Linked DNA regions of Xenopus tropicalis. The protein of the gene in region 1 purifies or fractionates together with the protein of each later gene. This does not show direct contact. Links are inferred from orthologs where the notes say so. Each region holds a gene or a part of one and is shown on either strand. Other genes may lie near its edges.

Region 1 (7,223 bases):
TTGCAGAGCTCACAGCCTCTCTAGTTAAAGGAGCTGCAAACCCAATAATAAACATTTGCCCAATAAAGGAATTTTGAATTCTTTGGAACTTTCCAATATACATTCTGTACAAAGTTCTAGTGGCTTTAAAATATTTTGTAATTATATCACCTATAAAAAGCAGTATCAATCTGTCCCTTTCTCTTCTCTGCTCTGGTTCTGACTAATGAAGGCATGTTGCAGAATCCAGCTAATTAACAGACCTGTAAAGAAGAAGCATGCGAGATTGGCTTCTTCTACATTCAGTCAAGAGACTGAAAACAGATGTACAAATACAGTGTTGCAGTCACATTGCCTTGTGTGCGCCTTTTAGTTGTCACAGGATAGAATCCATCTCTCTTTTTATTATCACAGCAACTTCACTCCAGCGTGAGGACTGGGAACCTGGAAACCTGCTTGCGGCTGCTATCTCTCGGGGCTCAGGCCAATTTCTTCCACCCGGTAATTACTGAACGCTTTTGCCTGCATTTGCTCTGCAGTTTAGCCTGGTGTATATTTCTCAAACTACCCTCTCAGATCCGGCCCCGTCTCTTTTAGAGCGAGAGTTATTGATTTTTACCTGACTGTTACTGTCTGCCTTGAAGCTCTGTAATCAAATATGGCGAGACTTCTAATATTAGCTGCAAGGGAGCTGATCTTTTAGAACAGCTTCTAGTAAATAACGTTCATTTTTTTACACCATTCAGCTTATTTGATCAGATAAATGCCCCCTATCCACCCTCTTTAATTTATAATTCTAAAAAAATACTTAGATTTCTCTTAGATCTGTTTTTTTAACAGTTGCCTCTGTTTTGGATAACCTATCAGCACTTCCACTTAAGGTAATGTCCCACGGAGTGAGTTAGTCACCAGCAATAGATCTTCGGGAAAGCCGAAGTGATACATATGTGATGCCTGTTGTTGCTGGGGGAAAGGCATTTCAGAGTGGTTAGTCACCTGGTAGCAGAGATCTATCGTGGGTGACTAACTTGCTCCTTGAGACATTAGCCTTAAACAGCGCCGGTTATCTCATCTGGGCGCCCCGAGGCTGCTCCCCTTGGAGAGGTCCCCATTGCTCCGTATGGGATCAAAATTTCAGTGCTGCAAATCTGTGTATTCTGGCAAATGCCACAGGTGCTGCTGTAAGATGCCATAGACTAGGGATCCCCAATGGTTTTACTTGGTAAGCAACACAAGCATTGAAAAAAAGTTTTTTGGGCATGCCAAATAATTTGATTGGCGATTTGGTAGCCCTATGTGGATTGCTAGTCTACAGGAGACTCTGCTTAGGATAAAATTATGCCTCTGTTCTTCTAAAACTTGCCACAGAAGAACAGGAACAGCACCTCTTGTCTTTGTAGATTAAAATGCCTTTATTGCAAAGTTTTCTGGGGCAAACAACAACAGCAGCAACGTTTCAGGTTACATAAGACCTTTTATCAAGCTTCTAAAACTTGCCTCCAAGCCACAAATGTAAAAATGGGCACCTACTTTGAGGCCACTGGGAGCAGCATCCAAGTGGTTGGTGAGCAACATGTTGCTAGTGAGCCACTGGTTGGGAATCACAGCTATTTCTTGGGCCTGTGGGGGGCTGTTTGAGTCTCTGTGTATTTTATATGTCAGGGCCTATTTTGACTCTCAGTCTGTTCTATGATGGTTATAACACACAGGGCTGTTTGATCACTGTGCTGCTGTCAGGTATGTCACAGGCCTATAGCCACAAAGGACTGTTGTTCATATTTTGCAAGAGGAGACTATAACTACAGTGTGTATTAAACCAAACTGTAATAGTTGTTTTATCAATATTATACTTCTATTTCATATTTATTCAAGCCAGGCCTTTTTACATTGATTACAGAATATTTATTAGTTAACAAGATACAGATTATATGGCTAATGCGCCGATGGGGCTGATTCTTGGTCTGTGACTGCCCCGGGTGTAGGCACATACTGAGGGGATTTCAGCACCGAAGTATGCATTTTGGCATTGAAATCCGCTGCATGTAGGGAAAGGCTTATGCCGGTGTAGGGGCTGATTCTTTGCTTGCGTTTATCTACAGGCCGAGATTCGCCATGGGGGCACGTTTACTAAGATTGGAGATAGCTATCACTGGTGATGTTACCCATAGCAACCAATCAGCAATTAGATTTGAACATTCACCTACAAGTTTAAAATCAAAAGCAAAGAGCTGACTGGTTGCCACGGTCAATATCACCGGTGGTATTGATCTCAAGTCTTAGTAAACATGCCCATAAGTGCTTTTTTTTTTTAATTCTACTGACAGCATCCACATTGTCCCATTTTACGGAACACAGAATCCGTCAGAGTTGTCCATTTACCACAGTGGCGTGTTTCTCCACATGCACTGACATTTAGGGGGACCTTCCTTCAGATAAATTGCATTTGTATTATGGTCCCCATGAATAAATTGAAATAGTATTGAAAATAGTTCTAACAACCATTCAAAGGTAGAACTATCTGTAACCCATCTTGTTACCGGTGCAATGCTGCAGATATTGCCTATCCCCATCCTATTCACAGTGCTCCATATTAAAGTGCTGCATAATTGGTGCTTAGAAGCGTATGAAATGGCAGAATTCACACCATAATGCAGATTGTTTATCTCTGGGAAATCAGAATAGCTAGTAGTCATGTTGTCACTGGCTGCGCGCCAGTATCTGTTGGAAGGGAGAGCAGCAGAGATAGGGGATTTGTAGAATGATGTTTATAAAACTAATAATAATAATAATACAGTTTGCTGAAAACCTCGAAGACCTTATAAGTGCAACTTGACTTTAGGGGCACCAGAACGTCTGCTGTTTATTGAGAGGTTTTCCTCTTTAACCCACAATGACTTGCTACTGCATTGAGGTTATTAGAAAAACTTGCAAGTGGAATAGCCTAGATACTGAATTGTTTTTATTGAGATAAAATGTTTGCTAGTAGAAACAAATTTCAAATGTCTCCTGTGACACAAATGATATCACTGAGCATCTGTGTTAATGGATAACCTCATCATGCATCATAAATAAGGATCTTTTTCATGACAAAAAAAGAAGGGAGCAAATGGGTAATTCTGGTAAATTAGAATTGCTACTTAGTCACCTCACCTTGATGTTAACATGACCTGTATTACCAGGCCTGCAGCTGTTTTACACTTGTGTTTGAAAACATACATTATTATAGTTTGTATGCAGAATTTTTGCTTTCTGGGATCCAGGGTTGCTTTCCTTTGCCCTTATTCATTCAGCTCTGTAAATAACCCGTGGGATTAGGTATCAGCCACCGAGATGTTTGTAACCCTGACTCTCTCCTTAGGACAAAGGAACCACCCCATTGCATGTTGCAGCCAAGGCTGGACAAATCCTTCAGGCAGAGCTGTTAGTGGTCTATGGAGCAGATCCTGGGGCACCGGATGTGAATGGCAGGACACCCATTGATTATGGCAGGTGAGGTGATTGGGTCAGAGTAGGGCTGGGCGATATACCGTTTAATACCGAATACCGGTGTTTTTTTTTTAAAACTATATTCATTTTTCAGATACCGCAATACCGGGGTGACAGGGTACTCACCCGTACGGCCCGGTCTCGCGCACCTCCTTGCGTGCACGCGCGTGTCCCGTTGTCCGCGGGACGTTGCGCACGCGCGCCCAGGTGCGCGTGCGTCAAATGGCACGTACATGTCAAAGTGTGCACGTCCGCGACGCGCTGAGGGCGCTGGTTCTGCGCATGCGTGGGGGGTATTTAAAGCTATCAAACGCCTCCTCCTGTGCTATGTTGTCTGCGGCCTTGCCTGGGAAACTAAGCCTGCCTGATTTACCTTACGACTTTCTGTTGCCGATCCTTCGCTTGCCTGACTCTGATTTTCAATACTGCAGTAATTATTCTCTAATTTATTAGTAAATGGGGTTAACACCTAATCATGCATGGAAAAAAAATTTACCGTCAAATACCGTGACACCGATATAATTTTGAAAAATACCGTGATATAAATTTTTGGTCATACCGCCCAGCTCTAGGTCAGAGCACCACTAATGGTGGGTAATATACAAATGGGGAAATGTAATAAAAAGCTTTCAGAATCACATTGCATTTCATTGTGTTATAACACTTTGTTAGAACAAGTTGCTAGGTTATTTACCATTTAAAGTCAGTGTTTGCCTGCAGCGGCAGATGAGAGCAGTATCAGTTCAGATATTTCTACATAGTACAGTAAGCTGTTATTCTGTTTTTCTGAGCCAAAATGATTGTTATCAATGAATACTTTATTGCCTTGACCCAAATCTTTGGCATAGGCAGCCTTCCACTGGTTTGTTACTTGGCCAATTGTTAATAATATATAACTATTATATAATATAACACAGGGAAAATTGTCACTGGCTAGTGACAGGAATCACTGGAAAATGTGCTACTCTGCATTTTAGAGGGATACACGCCTATGGCTAGACAGGACAAGGTCCAAATTATAGTATAGGTATGGGACCTGTTGCCCACAATGCTCAGGACCTTTGGTTTTCCAGATAAGGGTTTTTCTGTAATTTGGATCTCCATACCTTAAGGGCTCTGGCACACGGGGGAGATTAGTCGCCCGCGATAAAACTCCCTGTTCGCGGGCGACTAATCTCCCCGAGTTGCCTACCTCTGCCATCCCACCGGCGAACATGTAAGTCTCCGGCGGGATGGCAGACGCAGCGGGGCAATTTCATGGAATCGCCGAAAAAGACTCGCGAGTCTTTTTCGGCGATTTGCGCAAAATCGCGCCGCTGCGTCTGCCATCCCGCCGACATGTAAGTCGCCGGTGGGATGGCAGAGGTAGGCAACTCGGGGAGATTAGTCGCCCGCGAACAGGGAGTTTTATCGCGGGCGACTAATCTCCCCCGTGTGCCAGAGCCCTAAGTCTGCTAAAAAAAAAACTTTTAAACATTAACTTAACCCAGTAGGATTGTTTTGCTTTAAATGAGGGTTAATTATATCATCTTTAGAACCAAATGCAAAGTACTATTTTATTATTACAGAAAAAAATTAAATCATTTGTAAAAATTAGAATGATTTCCTTATGATGGAGTCTGTGGGAAATGCCCTTTCCGTAAGTCAGAGCTTACAGGTTTTTGGATAACTGATCCCATACCTGTATTTTGTTCTTTCCTGGGGCGATGAAACACTGCAGATCTCGTAGTGTACCATTATCCTTACTGAGGGTTGAATAAAAAAAAAAATATAATGTCAATGACTCCACCAGTGCAGATTTGTTTCCTAGAAATTATATTCCAGAGCACAGGGGCTAGCTGCTGCCTGTGTGTGGATCACCAATAAATTGGCCTCAGATACTACACAAGCAGTACTGTTAGGTGGCCGTGCCACATATGACAGTTTTCTTTTAATTATATATATATATATATAATATACAGGTATATACTCAGGGTAGGAATGACAGCACACACAGGACTTTTTTCATGAAGAATCACAAAGGTTTAGATGAATAAATGTGAGGCTTTGAATAAAGCCTCACATTTATTCATCTAAACCTTTGTGATTCTTCATGAAAAAAGTCCTGTGTGTGCTGTCATTCCTACCCTGAGTATTTACGTCTCCTGCACGAGCACCCAGGTATTATCTTGTTCTTATGGTGTGCAGCTTTCCAGCAACTCGTATATACAGGTATATATATACAAGTGTGGTCCAGACCTGCAATTGTACTGCAGCTCAGTTCTGTGCTAATGGTTGATTATCGGTATGGGTGCAGGGTAAGCACTACATAACCTACACACTAAGCAATTATGCCATGGGGTTGAAAGCGAATTCTTTGAAAAAGGGAAGCCTAGACTAATTTATGTAAAATGATTGTGTTCATTTGCCCAACACAGCTGTTGGAAGATATGTCTGCCCCTATTAATTGGTTAATATTTATGACATTGCTTCCAACAGGCAGGCTGGTCATCATGATCTGGCAGACCGATTGGTGGAGTGTCAGTATGAACTGACGGATAGGTTGGCCTTTTACCTTTGTGGACGCAAACCAGGTGGGTGCCGTGTTGTGTAAGTCACATGTCACAACTTTTTGTTCCTCTACATAAACAGGGAGACCAGTGCTTTGCACTTCTATTGCCTCCATCTTCCCTCAGTGTGACACCCTGTATCTGCCATCTTGGCTATATGAACCTTGGTGGTTGATGCTGTCAGTTCATGATTGTGCCCTCCCCAAGCTGATATTTGGGTGGCAAGTTTTTTGTGTTTAGCACAGGGGACATATTTTGTGCCTTAATTTTCCAAACGGTGGAGGAACATCGTGCCCTTCCTGTCATTTAGTTACTGCTACCTAAACTTCTGATTTTTGCTTCAAATCCTGTAAAGAGTAAGAGCTTTATTTTTTTAGTGATAAAAGAACAATATAGAAAAACTAAGCAAACAGCTCATTAAATGTAAAAACCTTCTTGCAGTATTTGGATGCCAATAGAAGCCTAGTGCCGAGCTAGCAGAACCGCAGCGATGAGCAGGTGGTGCCACGGATGAGCTCAGCACTCTTCCCAAGCAAGTGCTTAGTACTGGGGAATAGCAATGGCTGCACAATGTGTTCTACTATGCCTGGATACAGTCCTCATTTTACATCTGCTCTTATCCCAGCCAAAATGCCAACCTGTATAAGAAGTGTGGCTCTGCAAGTCTAGGGAGAGTCTGGCCATGACTTTTCTAAATGCACTGGCCATTCTCTGCCTTCACAGGTGTTTAATTACATGTCCCAGTTGCTGTCGATCAGTGGACATGGAGGCTGATTTACTGACATTTAAAATACAGTTTTTCAAATCACCCAATGTTGTCACTTATAAAAGATTAATTTTTCTGCAGTTTATTATTATTCACAATACATTTTCCCCATGTGAGTATGTATATACTGTTTCCCAAGTAAGCCTTTTCCATGGTCAGATTTTATAAGATAATGTATTTTGGCACTAAAAAATTTGAAATTGTAAGCTCTTTTGGGCAGGACCATCTTTACCTCTTGAATTCTTGTATTGGTTGTTTTTGTATGTTTTTTGTCTGTCTAATGTATACACCCAACTCTGCAAATTATGTTGGTGTTTTTATAAATAAGTATTAGTAAGACTTTAATAATACTTTGCATGATTCTTTGTGGATCTGTAAATCATCTGGCTTTGCTTCATTCCATTAAGAGTGACAACCACCAAGTTAAGTGTGTAACCAAATAT
Region 2 (7,718 bases), on another chromosome or scaffold:
TGGCCCTGGGGCCAAACGATCGGATTATGTGGGCGGCAATGGGGCAGTCGGATCGGGGACCGCATCAACGAGCCGATGCGGTCCCCGATCCGACCGGATTTTCTAACCTGGCCGATCGAGATCTGGCCAATTTCAGGCCAGATATCGGTCGGCCAGGCCGCTCTGCTCTCCCCATACACGGGCCGATTAGCTGCCGAATCGGTCCAAGGGACCGATATCGGCAGCTATAGTTGGCCCGTGTATGGGGACCTTTAAAAGGTTAAAACAAATGGCTGGACAATCTAGTTTTCTTTTCAAAACCATTTTTATTTGTTCTGCCTCAGCCATGTTTTCCTATTTCCTATTACAGATAGATTAAGTCACTTGCAGGCAAAACAGCAGTAAAGGTGCCTTTGAGATAAGCTGATCTTGTCAAATGTTTTGCAGAATCAGAATTTGCCAGATAGGAACTCTATTTTCAGACTCTCTAGGTAGGATAATAAAAGACTGCTGTTTGTGAGAGAAGCTGTAAGACCAGCCCGGAGCACCAAGAAGCACACTTGCACATGCAGTGACAACAACTTTTCCAAAAGTACAGTACATTGGTACATAACACAATAGTAGTCATTGTTTTCAAGCATAAGGTGACATTTCTTGTTTCTACGACAGTAACCTTGCACATTAAAAAATTCCAAGTGTGGATTTGGTAAACACAACACAAAACCGTAATTACCAGAGAAAGTCCCTGGTCCTTAATCACATGCACAGTAGCTGGGTGATCCAATCAGTCCTCACTGTCTGTTATCCTCTCCACTCCCTCATGGTTGGCTAACTAAATGGCTTAATCCATTGCTGTAAAGCTGTTGTTCGTACCCAGAGGTAAAGAAGCCCTTCCCTGTATGAGTCAAAGGACCAGCAACAAACTGTTCTTGGAGATGACTTTCTAACATAGTCACTCTGTGTTAACTGTGGGGTGCTTGCGCCTGGACTGGCAATCAGTAGATTCTGGAAAATGCCAGAGGGGCTGCTGTAAGATGCATTAGACAGTTGCTGTTTAAGCCTTTAGCACCTGGAATGCCAGGGCCTATTTTACAAACTGTAGAAAAAACAGCATGGTACTCACACGCTGAATTATACATAGACACTGTAAAACGGTGACAGAGATTCCAGCCTACAGCTTCCCAAGTGTTGCTGGACTACAAACCACAGAATACCGCCAATACGCAAACTTTATGTAATTACACACTCACATCAAGGCCCCAGACTAACAGAATTATCAGGGATCCTCTCTGCTCGAGCTCAAGCCTGCTTAGGACTCTGGAACACGGGGAGATTAGTCGCCCGCGACAAATCTCCCTGTTTGCGGACGACTAATCTCCCCGAATTGCCATCCCACCGGCGACAATGTAAGTCGCCGGTGGGATGGCACACGCTGCACAGGCGATTTTGGCAAATCACCGAAGTTGCCGCGCGAGGCATTTTTCGGCGATTTGACTAAATCGCGCCGCCGCGTGTGCCATCCCACCGGCAACTTACATTTTCGCCGATGGGATGGCAACTCGGGGAGACTAGTCGCCCGCGAACAGGGAGATTTGTCGCGGGCGACTAATCTCCCCGTGTGCCAGAGCCCTTAGTCACCCAATTAATAAAAACAACAATGAACTGCTGGCTAGGAAGGTGCAAGTGCCAATTGGTCCCTAGGCTTTCAGGGATGTCGACTAACCCTTGTTCATCAGGTGAAGAACAAGGGTTAGTTGAGACCTTATTTGGAGAGGCCAACAAACCGCGGGTCATAAGCCAAGAGTTTTTGAGACCTTTTTTCAGAGAGGTCAACACTCTTCTGCCATATATATATATATATTCTAGTGTTATGGACACGCCCCATTGTGCCCCCATCTCTGACTCATAAGGTCGCCAAGCGAGCAGATCTTCACCCGATATGCCCACCTATGGGTGGGCGATATAAGGGAGCGTGTCCAAGGGACCGATATCGGGAGCTACAATCGACCCGTGTATGGGGACCTTTACACAGATAAATTCAGGAGGGTTTGTAAGTTTTACAATTATTCCATTAAAATAAATGTTTTTAGAAACTATAGCATAAGAGAACTGGCTAAGGAGGCAAGTCACGTTTCTTGGGGGTCAGTCACTCTTTTTGGGACCCCACCACTCACAGCGAGTGCCCCCCTTCCCATGTCTAACCTAATTATGACCCCCCCATTATTGGAAGGGCCTAAAACCCACCTAAAATACATGTAGCTTTAGGGCCATGATAAATCTCCATTGTCACGGGCAACTAATCTCCCCGCAATGCCATTCCACTGGCTAGAATGTACATCACCGGTGGCGTGATTTGCCGAAGTCGCCAAAGCTTTCTCTTAAGGCAACTTCGGCAAATCACGGTGCCGCGTATGCCATCCAACCGGATTTACATTTACATTCTAGCCAGTGGGATAGCATTGCGGGGAAATTAGTCGCCCGCAACAACACAGATTTGTTGCAGGGCGACTAATCTCCGTGTGTCATGGCCCTTAGGATAAAAACATAGGAAGCTACTTAGTAGTAGCTATTGTCAGGGCTACTAAGCGCCAGAATATACCCTGCCATAGACAATACTAACAGCTGCATTTGCAAAAACACAGAGGCAATTATCAAGCATTGTCTATTTTTGTATTTTTCAGGGCCGCCGCTCCCTATAAGCAGAGTACTCAGTCTGCATAGGGCACCAACTCCCAGGGGGGCACCATCCCAGCTACTCCAAAAAAAAAAACATTTTTCTATATTATAACTTACTTACTATGGGGGCATTGTCTATGGGGGCAATTGGGGGCACTGTGTGTGGGGCCCCCATAGTAGGTGTTTTTTTTTATTTTATTTTTACTTCCGTAATATTTGGGAGAGGGGGCACAAAAGTAAATTTCTGCTTAGGGCACCCATTTGGCCAGCAGCGGCCCCGGTATTTTTGTTTCTTCCCCCTGAGGCAGGGGAAAGAGAGCGCTTTTGCTGGTCTGCCACATATGTTACAGAGAAAATAAAGGTAAAACTGACACATCTTTAATATTCATGTTAATACTTAAAAGAACCCTGGAACTACCCTTCCACCTCCCATAACTCTCCGCCGCCAGCCAGTTGCCCGACAGAAGAGCTAAGGGAGTGACGTCACTCAATGCGCGCTCCCGACTCCTGGGCGCGCCCCACTCGCTCCCGCGGGCTTTCGAGGCGAGGCCGGAAGTGACGCAGGCGGGGAAGCTTCCTGTTATCTCGCCGAAGAGTTGATTTTGTCGGGCGCTGGCTGCTCTAGGTTTTTCCTTCATAGACGCTGAAGGGAGAGCAAAGGAGAAGGAGTCGTGAGTGAGAGAGAGAGGGTGTGTTCTGAGCTACTGAAGCCCTTTCGCGGCCTAGCTTGCTTGGGCCATACGTACAGCCTTCATCTGTATCCGCTTTTGCGCCCGGGCTGCAGGGAGATCCGCTGCCAGCGCAGCCATGCAGGCCATTAAATGTGTGGTCGTGGGAGACGGGTAAGTGACGGGCTTCTATCGCTTATTTTTAATTCGAATGAATGGGGTTAGACGCTGAATCGCAGTGTGTCGCGTCTGGCCTGGGGCTCTGGGGATCTACGCGTTCTTCTGCGGTGGAATTTTCACCTTCCTCGGCTGGAACTGTGGCATGTCAGCCTCATAGCGGCCCAGCTGCTGGGGACTACAAGACCCGCAGAGGATGTCGGATACTGTAGTTCATAACAGCTGGTTGGACTCATTTCGTTCTTCATTGGGTTTCTTAGATAAATCTTTCTGCAGGTCTCTGATTACTAGATATTTATTTGGGGTTTCATTTTTACTGCTGCCCTCCAGCTGTTCCCTGGGTGCTGGGGGCACAATTGGCATAAGGGTCCATGTTTGTAATATATTGTAAATGTGTCAGCAAATTATAGTGCTAATATTATATAAAATGGATAACGTTTGGGCCAAGGTGCCTTCGTCCGCAGTGATGAGTCTTAAATCCTGTAGTGTAAAAAAAATAATAAAAATATATATATATATATATATTAGATGTCCGGTTACTAACTGATACTCATCAATATCCAGCAATCAACCCAGGAGCGAATGGAAAGATACGTCAGGAGGGACTATACAGTTATACGGCCACCCTCCCATTGTTACGATTGGAGCACCAGGAAGTAAAGCGCCGTTTCATCTCCCCTTCACTTCCTCATGTGCTGATGCGCTGTGCCCCCCAGTATATGTATACAGAATATAGAGCAAAACCCTCTCAGTTCATATGGGCTGCTTTACATTCTTGGATTTCAGTGCCCTAAGGCTATAGCTGCAGCATGGAACATGTTCTAGATTGATGCTTCCTGCTGCAAGGGAAGAAGAGTCCTCCTATGCCAGAGGCAGTGTGTGTTCTCCCAGTAATCACCGTTGCTAGAGCCTATTTCCCTTGAAAAATGGTAGGAAAAACACTGTTAGATGCATACGTATGATTATGGTCAATATTATAGACCAGATCGGCTCATGTTCCTCACTCCATGGTTAGATATATTGAAACTTCACTGGGTAATGTACTTTAAATCTTTCCTTTGCTATTTAAGCTGTTATATTTTCTACTTACTATGGTTTCTCTCTTTGTCCTGGGCTTTGATTTAATAGACTGTAAATTTGTCCATTCAAAATGTTATTGTATAGTTCCAGCATCAAGTGGACATGTATGTATAACTTTATTTATAAAGCGCCACAAGGGTACGCAGCGCTGTACAATCTCACAGAATACAAGGGAGGACAAGTGATATAATAAATAAATACAATTAATATATATATATATATATAAGTGCCATGAGACACAGTAGGAAGGAGGTCCCTGCCCCGTAGAGCTTACAATTTAAGTACACAGTAGGAAGGAGGTCCCTGCCCCGACATGTAAACAAGACATTCATTTAGACAATATTCCTTTCTAGTATATGAGGGTATTTTTAAATGTCTTCTCGTCAGTTTAAATGCAGGGTACATGTGCCACAAATGCCTCGGTCACATGAATTGTATTTGGCTGCATCCATAATGCCGCATTATGTGTTTCATAGGGTACCACTAGTGGCAGGCAGGCATGGGATGGTGCCCCCGAGAGCTAGGATAAATAAGGTTATTAGAACAATTGAAAATCAGGACCAGTAATAGGAAACCCAACTTGTGGGGCAGCACTGATGGCATTTCCTAGCACTTTAGTAACTTGCCAATCAGTTCAGCTCTGCTAGTTGGGTATTTTGTATGTTTCCTGATTTTTCAGATCATTTGATAATCTTAAGGTAAATTTTGTATGGTGTTTGTGCAGTGTAACTGTATTGCTGTCAAAAATATTATTTATGTGCCAGTCAATGGAGTGCTGATTGTTCTTACACAGAGGTTGTCCATCTCTTTAGGCAAACTTGGCTAAATTACTACATCTATATGCTAGAGCAGGGATCCCCAACCTTTTATACTAGTGAGCCACATTCAAATGGAAAAAGTGTTGGGGAGCAGCACAACCATGAAAAAAGGTTCCTGGTGGTGCAAATAAGAGCAATAATTGTCTATTTAATAGCCCCTATGTGGACTGGCAGCCTACAGAAGGCTCTGTTTGGCATTATACTTGGTTTTTATGCAACCAAAACTTGCCCCAAGCCAGAAATTCAGAAATGAGCACCAGCTTTGAGGCCACTGGGAGCAACATCCAAGGGGTTGGTGAGCAACATGTTGCTATGAGCCATTGGTTGGGGATCACTGTCCTAGAGTTTCTTTAGCATCATTCCCTTATACTTTTTGGGTGTTACCATGTTGTAGCTATGGTGCCCTCTGTCCTCACTGTTCCCCAGTTCAGTTATTGCTCTCCCAATCACAAATCTTCTTCATTTTCAGTAAACAGCAGCTTAACACCCAGTACCGATTTGCTTATGGCTGCATTGTGTATATTCTCTTTCCTCATTAAGACTATCAATCAGACAATTATTTTTTCCTGTGGACATGGCGACTTGTTCAGCATATTATTAGGCAACTTGGTGGCCAAGCTTAACTTGTGTATCATTTTGTCTAAAAGACGCACAAGAAAAAGGCACACAAAATAGAAAAACAATTGTTTTTTTGTTCGTACAGAGACTAAATGTTTCAGGGTGCCCCAACCCCTCCATCAGTAGTACAGCTCTTATCATTTTCTGTGCTATGTCTTACATGCTAACAGGCTGCAGCTGTATTAAATAGAAAAGATTTTTACCGTCACTCACTGGTGTGACTAATGTTAAAGTCCATTGCTTTCATTTTACTGGGAAAGTCCCCCTATGAGACCCAGTGTGTGTTGCAATGTTTAATTGTGTCACATTCACCTAACACCTTTAATGATTGCTGTTTTACACTGACTCTTTAAAAAGGTACACTGAAGGGCAGCATTCACTCATTGATTACCACCGCGCCACAAAGAATTATTCAGGATTATAAGAATGACTCCATCTTCAAATCCTGCCAAGCTTATTGCATGGGCAGCATCACTCAGCACTTTGTATGTTCCACTTGGCACCATAGCGCTGCTGTAGGGTCACCATTCCATGTATTGAATTGAAGGTGGCAGAGTGTTAGAAAGCAAGCGTGTGAAGCACTATGTAATGCTTGGCTAATCACAGTATGGTCTTGTTCATACTTGCATTTAAATGTGCACTATCAGTGATGTGAGTGTTAAAAAAAAAAAAAAAAAAAATCGGATACAAGTGTCCGTTTGGCTTCTTTACGTTTGCTCTGCTCCCCTGTGATTTTTATATGTGAGCGATTGGAATGTCTATCGCGTATATAATGCAAGTATGCACAAGTCTAAGGCAGCCCTGATAAGAATTTGCTTTTTGCAATCCTGATATGTGGCTGTAAGTAGTGCAGCACGTTACTGTAGAAGCTGTCCCATGTTAAATGCTCGCAGACAAATTCATTTGTTGAAAGGGACAGCATCCCTTTAATAACGTACAGGCATGGACATACAGGCTTTTGGATGACCAAAATACCTTGTCTTTTACCATACACTGTACTTGCAGTAGGTAAAAGTAGGAATGTTTAACATGACTTAACTAAACTGTACCCTTGTAGCACACAGGAACACAGCATAAAAAAAAAAAAAGTTTGTGAGACCCAAAGGGAGGTATGAAACCTTTAGCTGGAGACAAATATACCTGTTGTAGCTTTATGACCGATGGATATCCGAGGGGTTGCTGCCCATACAAGTAACAATCATTGTAAAAAAAATAATATCCTACATATTTGTATTAGAGGGTTCTGTATGATTATGCATATCTAGATTTCAATATATATGTCAGTCTTATTTATTTTACCTTATTGTGATTAGTGCAGTGGAGGCTAGGCAGGTAAATGAGAGAATGTTGTGGGTTGTGCTCGATTTCTCTGCCTGCATTCTGGCTGATTTGTTGCAGTTGGAGACATAGATGTGCTTGGAACTAGTAAGGCCTTTGCAGGAAGTAATATATCTGTGCGGTGGGAAGTCCTGTTTTCCCTTAGTCTATTTATGCTCTTTGCAGATCCCATAATGGAATTCACTCTGGAGCTGATTTGTGCAATAAGGATATTGTGTGACATATATATATATATATATATATATATATATATGTATATAAATATATTTTCTAAGTAAACCATTTTGTTCCACTGCTTCAACTTATCTCTGTGCATGTTTAAAATGATAGCATACTAATATATTATCTATGTTATGATAAGGAT
Region 3 (7,874 bases), on another chromosome or scaffold:
GCCAGTAGAAAGTTCGAATGAAAGAGAAACATTGTATAGTCTGAACAGAAAAATTAAGCAATAAAGTTATAATTACCTAAAAATGGTGATGTGGTAAGAATTTATTACAAGCCCTTAGTGATATACAACGTTAGTCACTCTTGCTTTAGCTGACTAGCTGGGAGTTGCAGTTTAATGATGACCGGAGGGCCGCGGCTTGGCCAACCCTGCCCTGGTTTCTTTTCATACACTGAAGCTTCCCATGCTTTCCGGGTCAGGTTCCTGCTGAGTCCGTGGCTGAGGCACGGTATCAGTTTCGTGCAGTCGCGCCGCCATGCCCAGCTGCTGTGTGGCCGTCCCCTCCCCCGGTACTAGCCGCTGTGCATGCCGGGCCCTGCTCATGCCGTCGGTGCTCGGGGCTCTGCCCGCCCGGGAGATGCAGCTGCTGCTGGAGAAGTGACCTCAGGTAAATAGGCTTCCTCCTGATGGCGGCCCTGCCATATCCGACGTATAAGACGACCTCCGACTTTGGTGCGGATTTTTCGGGTTTAAAAAGTCGTCTTATACGCCGGAAAATACGGTAATTTAGAAATAAAATATACACCATAAAAATCATGACAAAATCCCTTTAAAGGAACAGTAACACCAAAAAATTTAAGTGTTCTAAAGTACCGTATATACTCGAGTATAAGCCGATCCGAATATAAGCCGAGGTATCTAATTTTACCTAAGAAAACTGGAAAACTGTATGGACTCGAGTATAAGCCTAGGGTGGGCTTACATAATATTACAATTACATGATGCTGAGAAGTGCATGATGCCCATGACTAGACAGGCCCAAAAATCTCTTTGGAGTGAAGCATCTTGCACTTGAGCCTCCTGGTGCACAGCCCTGATAGTGGATCTACCTACCAAATCTTGCACCCAAGGGGTTCAGCTTATGTACTAAGAGAGTGCATCAGGGTAGACTTACAGTTTGTGCAGGTTCACAGGGGCCTTGTGCAGCCATGAAAAAGCCAGGTTTGCCTGGTGTGCCAAAGGACTGGGGTGCAATACATTGCAGGCTGAGTCGCTCTTTGGCTGGGAGCAGCCACTTTCAAGTTAAGGCACAGTTTGGACAGCTCTTTCTCAGTCCGGGTCCTGAGTTCTATGCAACCAGTATTAGAAGGTGGTTGGTTGCTTAGCAACCAACCACCACCACAGACAACGCAATGGGCTGCTTGTGCTGCAGCTTAGCCCAGGAGTAGCGGCGGGTGTTTACTGTAGGCTGGGAGCGGGGATGGTTGAAGCTGCTGGGGACCGAGGCACACGCTCCTCTTGGTCACTGTGTCCGGATTGTAGAGATTGTCCAGATGAGGGATCGTAGCGGTACAGCGCGCACAGCGAGGGGTGGGGCGTCTGAGCGGTACTTGCGTGCACTTGCGTGCATCCAGAAGGGGGGGTCGGCGGCGGGGGTACGAACGAGCGGCAGCTGGAATCCTCAGACAGAGCGGATTCTCGCACGGAATCTGCCATAGGAGCGCACGTCAAAGAGAGGTTTTAGTGGTACAGCGCGCACAGCAATGAGGTGGTTTGAGCGAGGAGGGGTTGGTGGCGGGGGTGCGCGTGGACATCCACGGGATATACATGTTATCCATATACGCGAGTATAAGCCGAGGGTGACTTTTTGAGCACATTTTTGGTGCTCAAAAACTCGGCTTATACTCGAGTATATACGGTAATTGAAATATAATGTACTGTTGCCCTGCAATGGTAAAACTGGGGTGTTTGCTTCAGGAAGACTACTATAGTTTATATAAATACGCTGCTGTGTAGCCATGGGGGCAGCCATTCAAGCAGGGAAAAAGGAGAAAAGGCACCTTTGTATTCTACAGGGTTAATCTGTTAGCTGCTATATAACCTGTGACTTTTCTTCTTTTGAATGGCTGCCCCCATGTCTACACAGCAGGGTTTATATAAACTCTAGAAATGTTTCTGAAGCAAACACACAACTTTTACCAGTGCAGGGCAGCAGTATATTATAGTTTAATTTCTTTAAAATATATACATTTTTTGGTGTTACTCTTCCTTTAACACATTATGTATGTCACCTGGAACAGCTCTGCAAATCAATGGTTATTTGGATATAGGTTCCCCCTGGCTAGCCTAGCCCCAGCAGGTCACTTCAACAGTCTCCAAGCAGCAGAATTATAAAAAAAAATGTTGTTTTATATATTTTATTGGGTTTTTCAAAATAATGCAGGTTAGGGGACACTAACCGTGAAATTGCTGATTGGTTGCCCTGGGCAACATCGCTGTAATGCTTCACTCCACTTTTTACACAGCATGATAAATATACCCCTATATTTATCATGCTCAGGGCCACCAATCAGGCTGGATGCCTGGCCTAATGTATTTTATTTAAATATCCACATTTCTATATTCTACTAGATATATTTTATTTTCAGTTTATTCATTCAATAAAATGCTCTGTACTGTATATACACAACATGTATGAGGCTAACTATATCCAGTATCAAAGAACATGCATTTTAATTTCAGCCTCTTATCCTGTGCTGATCTGTTCTGCACTGGCTCAGAAAACAGAGCACTTATCCTACATAATTTATGAGACCGGTTTTCTGGAACATCAGGACATCCAGAATAACTTTGAAACCCTAGAGCAAGCACAATGAGAATAAGAGATGCAAGCAAAAAATACTACTTTAGGATCCCCAGAACGCAAAGCATAAGAGCACATTCTATTACATGCAGCTTCCTGCTTGTTACTGAAGGCAGTTGGTAAAGCTGTTGAAAAGTAAGCTCAGCCCGCACATATAGGAAGAGCAGAGCAGATGCAATCACGGATGTGGCTGCAGAACAGCTTTGTTACATTGCACCCTGCACTGTACGAAGCCAATTTACACAGCCATGAACCCTGAGGAACAGACCGTCACTTGGCTGATCTCACTGGGGGTGTTAAGTTCTCCCAAGAAAAACATATGCAATCCTGCTGACTTCTTGAAATGTTCACTGAAGGATGGGGTGGTGCTCTGCAAACTGATGAACCGCCTCCTCCCAGGCTTTGTATCTAAGGTAAGCCATTTCCCACTTTCTCCGTTTCGCCTAAATAGGCGCACAATATGAGTATACGAAAAATCCTGATTTTTAGGTATGATTTGTGCACAATCTTTTTTCAAACACAATTCTGGGAATAAAGGAACATAACTGCCTGGGCCTAAGTAAATAGAAATTCATACAGAGTCTATAGCAGGGGTCCCCAACCTTTTTTACCTGTGAGTCACATTCAAATGTAAAAAGAGTAGGGGAGCAACACAAACAAGTTCCTTGGGGTGCCACATATATGCTGTGATTGACTATTTGGTAGTCCCTATGTGGACTGGCAGCCTACGGAAGGCTCTGTTTGGCAGTACACCTGTTTTATGCAACCAAAACATGCCCAAAATCCAGGAATTCAAAACACCCAAGCGGTTGGGGAGCTCATGTTGCTCATGAGCCACTCACTGAGGATTACTGGGCTATAGTCTATAGGTGTCCTCTGAATACTTCATTTTCCTCCCACACTCCAATAACATACAGCCAGGAAAACTGGCTCCCAATACAACTGACCCTCCTGTGTGTGATTGTGATAGGGCCCTTAGACTGTAAGCTCCACTGGGACAGACACTGATGTGGATGATGCATAATCTCTGCAAAATGTGTCAGCGCTATATAAATTCCAGGAAACAGTTGAAAGTAAAGGCCACTTTTAAGGTAAAATCAGTGTGTTAGGTTAGCTCCTTAAGTATATAATACCCCAGTGCTTAAATGTTTTATATCCTCCCATGGTTATGTTGCAGCAGGACACTTGAAATATTTGTATGTTTTGTAGTCTTTTTTGCATAGCAATACACTAACCTGGAGTTAACATTCTGGCGTTTGGCACTGCTCTGAAAGATGGCAGAGGCTTGTGGATATTGTAGTTTATGAAAGAGGAAGCACTGATACACTGATGCATGTTGTTTAATAACTGGTCCACTTTAGTTCCTCTTATGCTTTTGTAGCGAGAACTCTGTTGGCCATGTAAGGATGAACTCTGTTTTGTCACTTCCCCTTAATGCGTGCTCAGCTCAGTCTGACTACTGCTTGATGCACGTCACATCTAAACATCTAGTAAGTTAGCTATATTATTTTTCCTCTTATATTCATTTGAACAATATGTTTCCCTTTTTAACGCAAACAGCTTCTAATGTACCCACTAACTTTGCTCTAAGTACCCCAGGGTATTTTTAAAAACAATTATATAAGGTTGTCTGAATGTTTCCTGTGCCTGGTAGAGAATGCTAGGAGCAGTTCTAAAGCAGAAGACAGCAGAGCAGCAGAAGAGCTATACGTTTGCTGAATACAATAATTATTTTGCACATTTATGGAAAAGGTATGTTAGTTATACAGTCTTATAAATACTGTATGTAGTGATTCACTGCACATCTTATTGTATTGTTACAAGGCATTACTGCTTGATTCCACTCTTCCATTCAGCTTTAACTTCATTGAATTTAAAATTGTGTAACAACCTCATTTGCTCTTTGGAAAATATGATATATGCAACTGGAAGCACAATACACAGCTGAAAACACTCTGTCAGAAAGGATGATGGGCAGAAAATTCATTTAAAGCAAGATTCCAAGCATGAAAATCATGCAGTACAAAACATGCATTGTAACTCTTGATTGCTGAGGATAAGTGGGGTTTATCATTCTCACGATCATCTGAGATGTACTACATCAATCATGTTTGCATTCGGACAAAATCCAATTTTCAACTATAATTTGTATATTTAAATCTGAATAAAAGTAGCATCACCTAAACATAAATACTTTTAGTGCTTTAAAACATCAAATTCATCTCAGCCAAACTATAAGGCAGTGGTGTCTGGACTCTTACGGAATATGCAAAGCTCCCCTTTGAAGGACAGAATTTGGTTAGGATGCCTCTAAGTTCCAAGAACCAAGTAAACCATTCAGTCTTTGTTCTCCAGTGTAAAATTTAAGAAAGCAAATAAGCATTCTGGACAAATCTTACAATATCTGGCTTACCCTAAAGCTGTGCCCCCAGCCACTACCAATCCACACTCACTAGCACACCCTGGCCTTTCCACTCTGTTCCGCCTGGTGCACAGTATTTAGAGTGAGACTTCAGCACTCTCCACCACGTTCCAAATAGCACAAAAATACCGGCACAACAGGACTTGTTTAAGCGGAATAAACCCCCAGCCACTGCTCCAGGACCCTAAGAGGGCCACCCAGTGGCGTAGCGAGGGGGGTGCCGAGGGGGCCATGGCCCCGGGCGGCGTATCAGAAGGGGCGGCGGCGGCTCCTTCTCTCTTACGCTTTTATAAGGTTGCGCCCGTGCGTATGACGTCACACGTCAGCGACGAGGCGCAACCTTATAGAAGCGCCTGTTGCCTGTAAGAGAGAAGGAGCCGCCGCCAATGGTCTGTTGGGGGTATGTACTATGGGGGAAATTGGGGGCACTGTGTGGGGGCTACTGTCTATGGGGAAATTGGGGCACTTTCCATGGGGGGGGCCAGGTCTTTGTGGGGTATTGTGTATGGGGGCACTTCCTATTGGGGGCACTGTGTATGGGGCAATTGGGGCTTTGTGTATGAGGGCACTTTCTATTGGGGGGCAAGGTCTTTGGGGGGTATTGTCTATGGGGACACTGTGTATGGGGCAATTGGGGCACTGTGTATGGGGGCACTTCCTATTGGGGGCACTTTGTATGGGGCAATTGGGGGCACTGTTTATGGGGGCACTGTGTATGGGGGAACTTTCTATTGGGGGAACTGTGAATGGGGCAATTGGGGCACTGTGTATGGGGGCACTTCCTATTGGGGGCACTGTCTAAGGGCAATTGGGGGCACTGTGTGGAGGGGGCTGTCTATGGGGACACTGTGTATGGGGCAATTGGAGGCACTGTCTATGGGGAAATTGGGGCACTTTCTATGGGCAATTGGAGGCAATGTGTGTGGGGGGCACTGTGTATGGGGCAATTGGGGGCACTGTGTATGGGGGTACTGTCTATGGGGCAGTTGTATGGGGGGACCGTGGCCAGAATAGCGTTAGGGGGGCCTGGCCAGCATAGTGTTAGGGGGCCACTGTGGTAGGGTGACCCTAATACTTTTTATGTCTGTGTGTCCTGTACTGATGGGAGGGGCCCTGTGATTTCTGATGGCGGCCCTGCCACCATGGGCAGCCACGGACGCACAGCTGAATCCACTTTTGACAATTATGACATGCGCACCGCATTTCAAATTCAATCAAAAAAAAAAAAAAATTTAATGCTGCTTTTTTTATTTTGTCTATTTTTTTTAAGAATAACTAAATAGAGGGGCGGCAAATTTCCGGTCGGCCCCAGGCGACGAAAGCCCACGCTACGCCACTGGGGCCACCCCCACCCCAACTGAATGCTGAACAATTGAACTTAGGCAAAGACCATTGGGAAATCTCACGTTTCAGCATTTTCATGTGATACCTATTCAACTCAATAGAAGACAATTTCAGCCAGGTGCATAGTCCCTTGTAGTTATCATGAACCTTAAATATTTTTTCATTTAAAAATGCTAAATATCTTCATAAATAAAATTTGTTTGTATTTTTGCATTTATATGTATATTAATGAATAACAGTCATTATCATCATAATCAGCAACTTTTTGTTGTCCTATTTTTCTTTTTTTAATGGCTTTCATCCTTAGTGTGTTTCTTCTAGACCTGAATTTTAAACTTAAAAGCAATTCATTTCTTTACACATTTGTTTGTTATTATGAATATAGGTTCTGTATAAAAAATGCATACTATTAATTTGAATACACATGCTCAGATTTTCTTTGGCAGATTGAACAGGCCTGCCCAACCATCAGACCACAGTTGGTCTGTCCAAAATAAAATGTTCATCTGCCTCAGCATGAGAACTGGCAAATGCAGAAGTAAGATAAGCTGCACGCAACAATAGGCCCTGGTATGCTTAGTCTTCCTGTGACAACCATATAATGATAACCCATATTGCTTCAGAGTTGGCTTTATACAAAAGCATAAGCATTTACTGAGACATCGTGAAAGAACTTTAGCTGCAAACTCACAAGCCTCTCTCCGCTGTTCTGCCTGTTCTACCCCCGGCTAGATGTGTTTCAGTGCAAGGCACGACGAGCCGCAGCTTGCTTGACACTACAGCCAATACTGACATATAGAAGCAAATCCAAGTACGTAGTAGCTTAGTTGTATGTATAACTTGTATGTATAACTTTATTTATAAAGCGCCACAAGGGTACGCAGCGCTGTACAGTCTTACATGGTAAAGGCAGTTTGTATTAAAGGTGGTTGTTGTAACCCTATTTTACTGTGATGCTCAAATATACGTACTATCTATAATACCAAGGCCAGACAAAAATGCAGTGTGTGATGTACTGCTGCTGCCAGTCAGACCAAAATATTTTTGATCTGACTGCGAAAACGAAATCATATTGCACAGATAATAACTGCATATAGGTTACTGACAAATTCTGTTTGAACTTTTGAAATAAACCTCGATTTTCCCTTAGTCTCACTACAAAGAGGATTCCTTTATTTACTGACACTTTCTATTCCCTCCAATGATTGTATGTAAACCAGTACTGTAGAGGACTGTGCTGAATTGTCTGCAGTGCCTTCCTGCACTCACTGCATATGCTACACACAAGCACACGCACTAGGGAGCTGCAGCAGTGTCAGAACAGCTTGTTTGGCTTATTTGTCACACATGTTCTGATTTAAAGGGTGGGTGCTCTGATTTTCCTTTCCGTTGCTGCTTTAGCGTTGTGAATTTTAGTTTTTTTTACTGCAAGCCACTAGGTTTGATCACATGGCCTGAAGCATTCTG

The links.
Region 2: the proteins of git1 (region 1) and rac1 purify together in Homo sapiens (affinity purification with mass spectrometry; 3 studies listed by BioGRID). This does not show direct contact. The link is inferred for Xenopus tropicalis from reciprocal best matches to the Homo sapiens genes GIT1 and RAC1.
Region 3: the proteins of git1 (region 1) and arhgef6 purify together in Homo sapiens (affinity purification with mass spectrometry; 3 studies listed by BioGRID and IntAct, counting the BioPlex papers as one, with this or other methods). This does not show direct contact. The link is inferred for Xenopus tropicalis from reciprocal best matches to the Homo sapiens genes GIT1 and ARHGEF6.

What each region holds. Positions count from the first base shown.
Region 1 is NC_030678.2:32,783,201-32,790,423, forward strand, and holds part of git1 (ARF GTPase-activating protein GIT1), read left to right. Parts: intron 1-393; coding exon 394-480; intron 481-3,337; coding exon 3,338-3,468; intron 3,469-5,943; coding exon 5,944-6,038; intron 6,039-7,223. UniProt on the Homo sapiens protein: GTPase-activating protein for ADP ribosylation factor family members, including ARF1.
Region 2 is NC_030685.2:25,455,249-25,462,966, forward strand, and holds the start of rac1 (ras-related C3 botulinum toxin substrate 1), read left to right. Parts: upstream 1-3,294; 5' UTR 3,295-3,462; coding exon 3,463-3,497; intron 3,498-7,718. UniProt on the Homo sapiens protein: Plasma membrane-associated small GTPase which cycles between active GTP-bound and inactive GDP-bound states.
Region 3 is NC_030684.2:69,205,358-69,213,231, reverse strand, and holds the start of arhgef6 (rho guanine nucleotide exchange factor 6), read left to right. Parts: upstream 1-2,859; 5' UTR 2,860-2,889; coding exon 2,890-3,054; intron 3,055-4,098; exon of another isoform or gene 4,099-4,107; coding exon of another isoform or gene 4,108-4,131; intron 4,132-7,807; exon of another isoform or gene 7,808-7,874. UniProt on the Homo sapiens protein: Acts as a RAC1 guanine nucleotide exchange factor (GEF).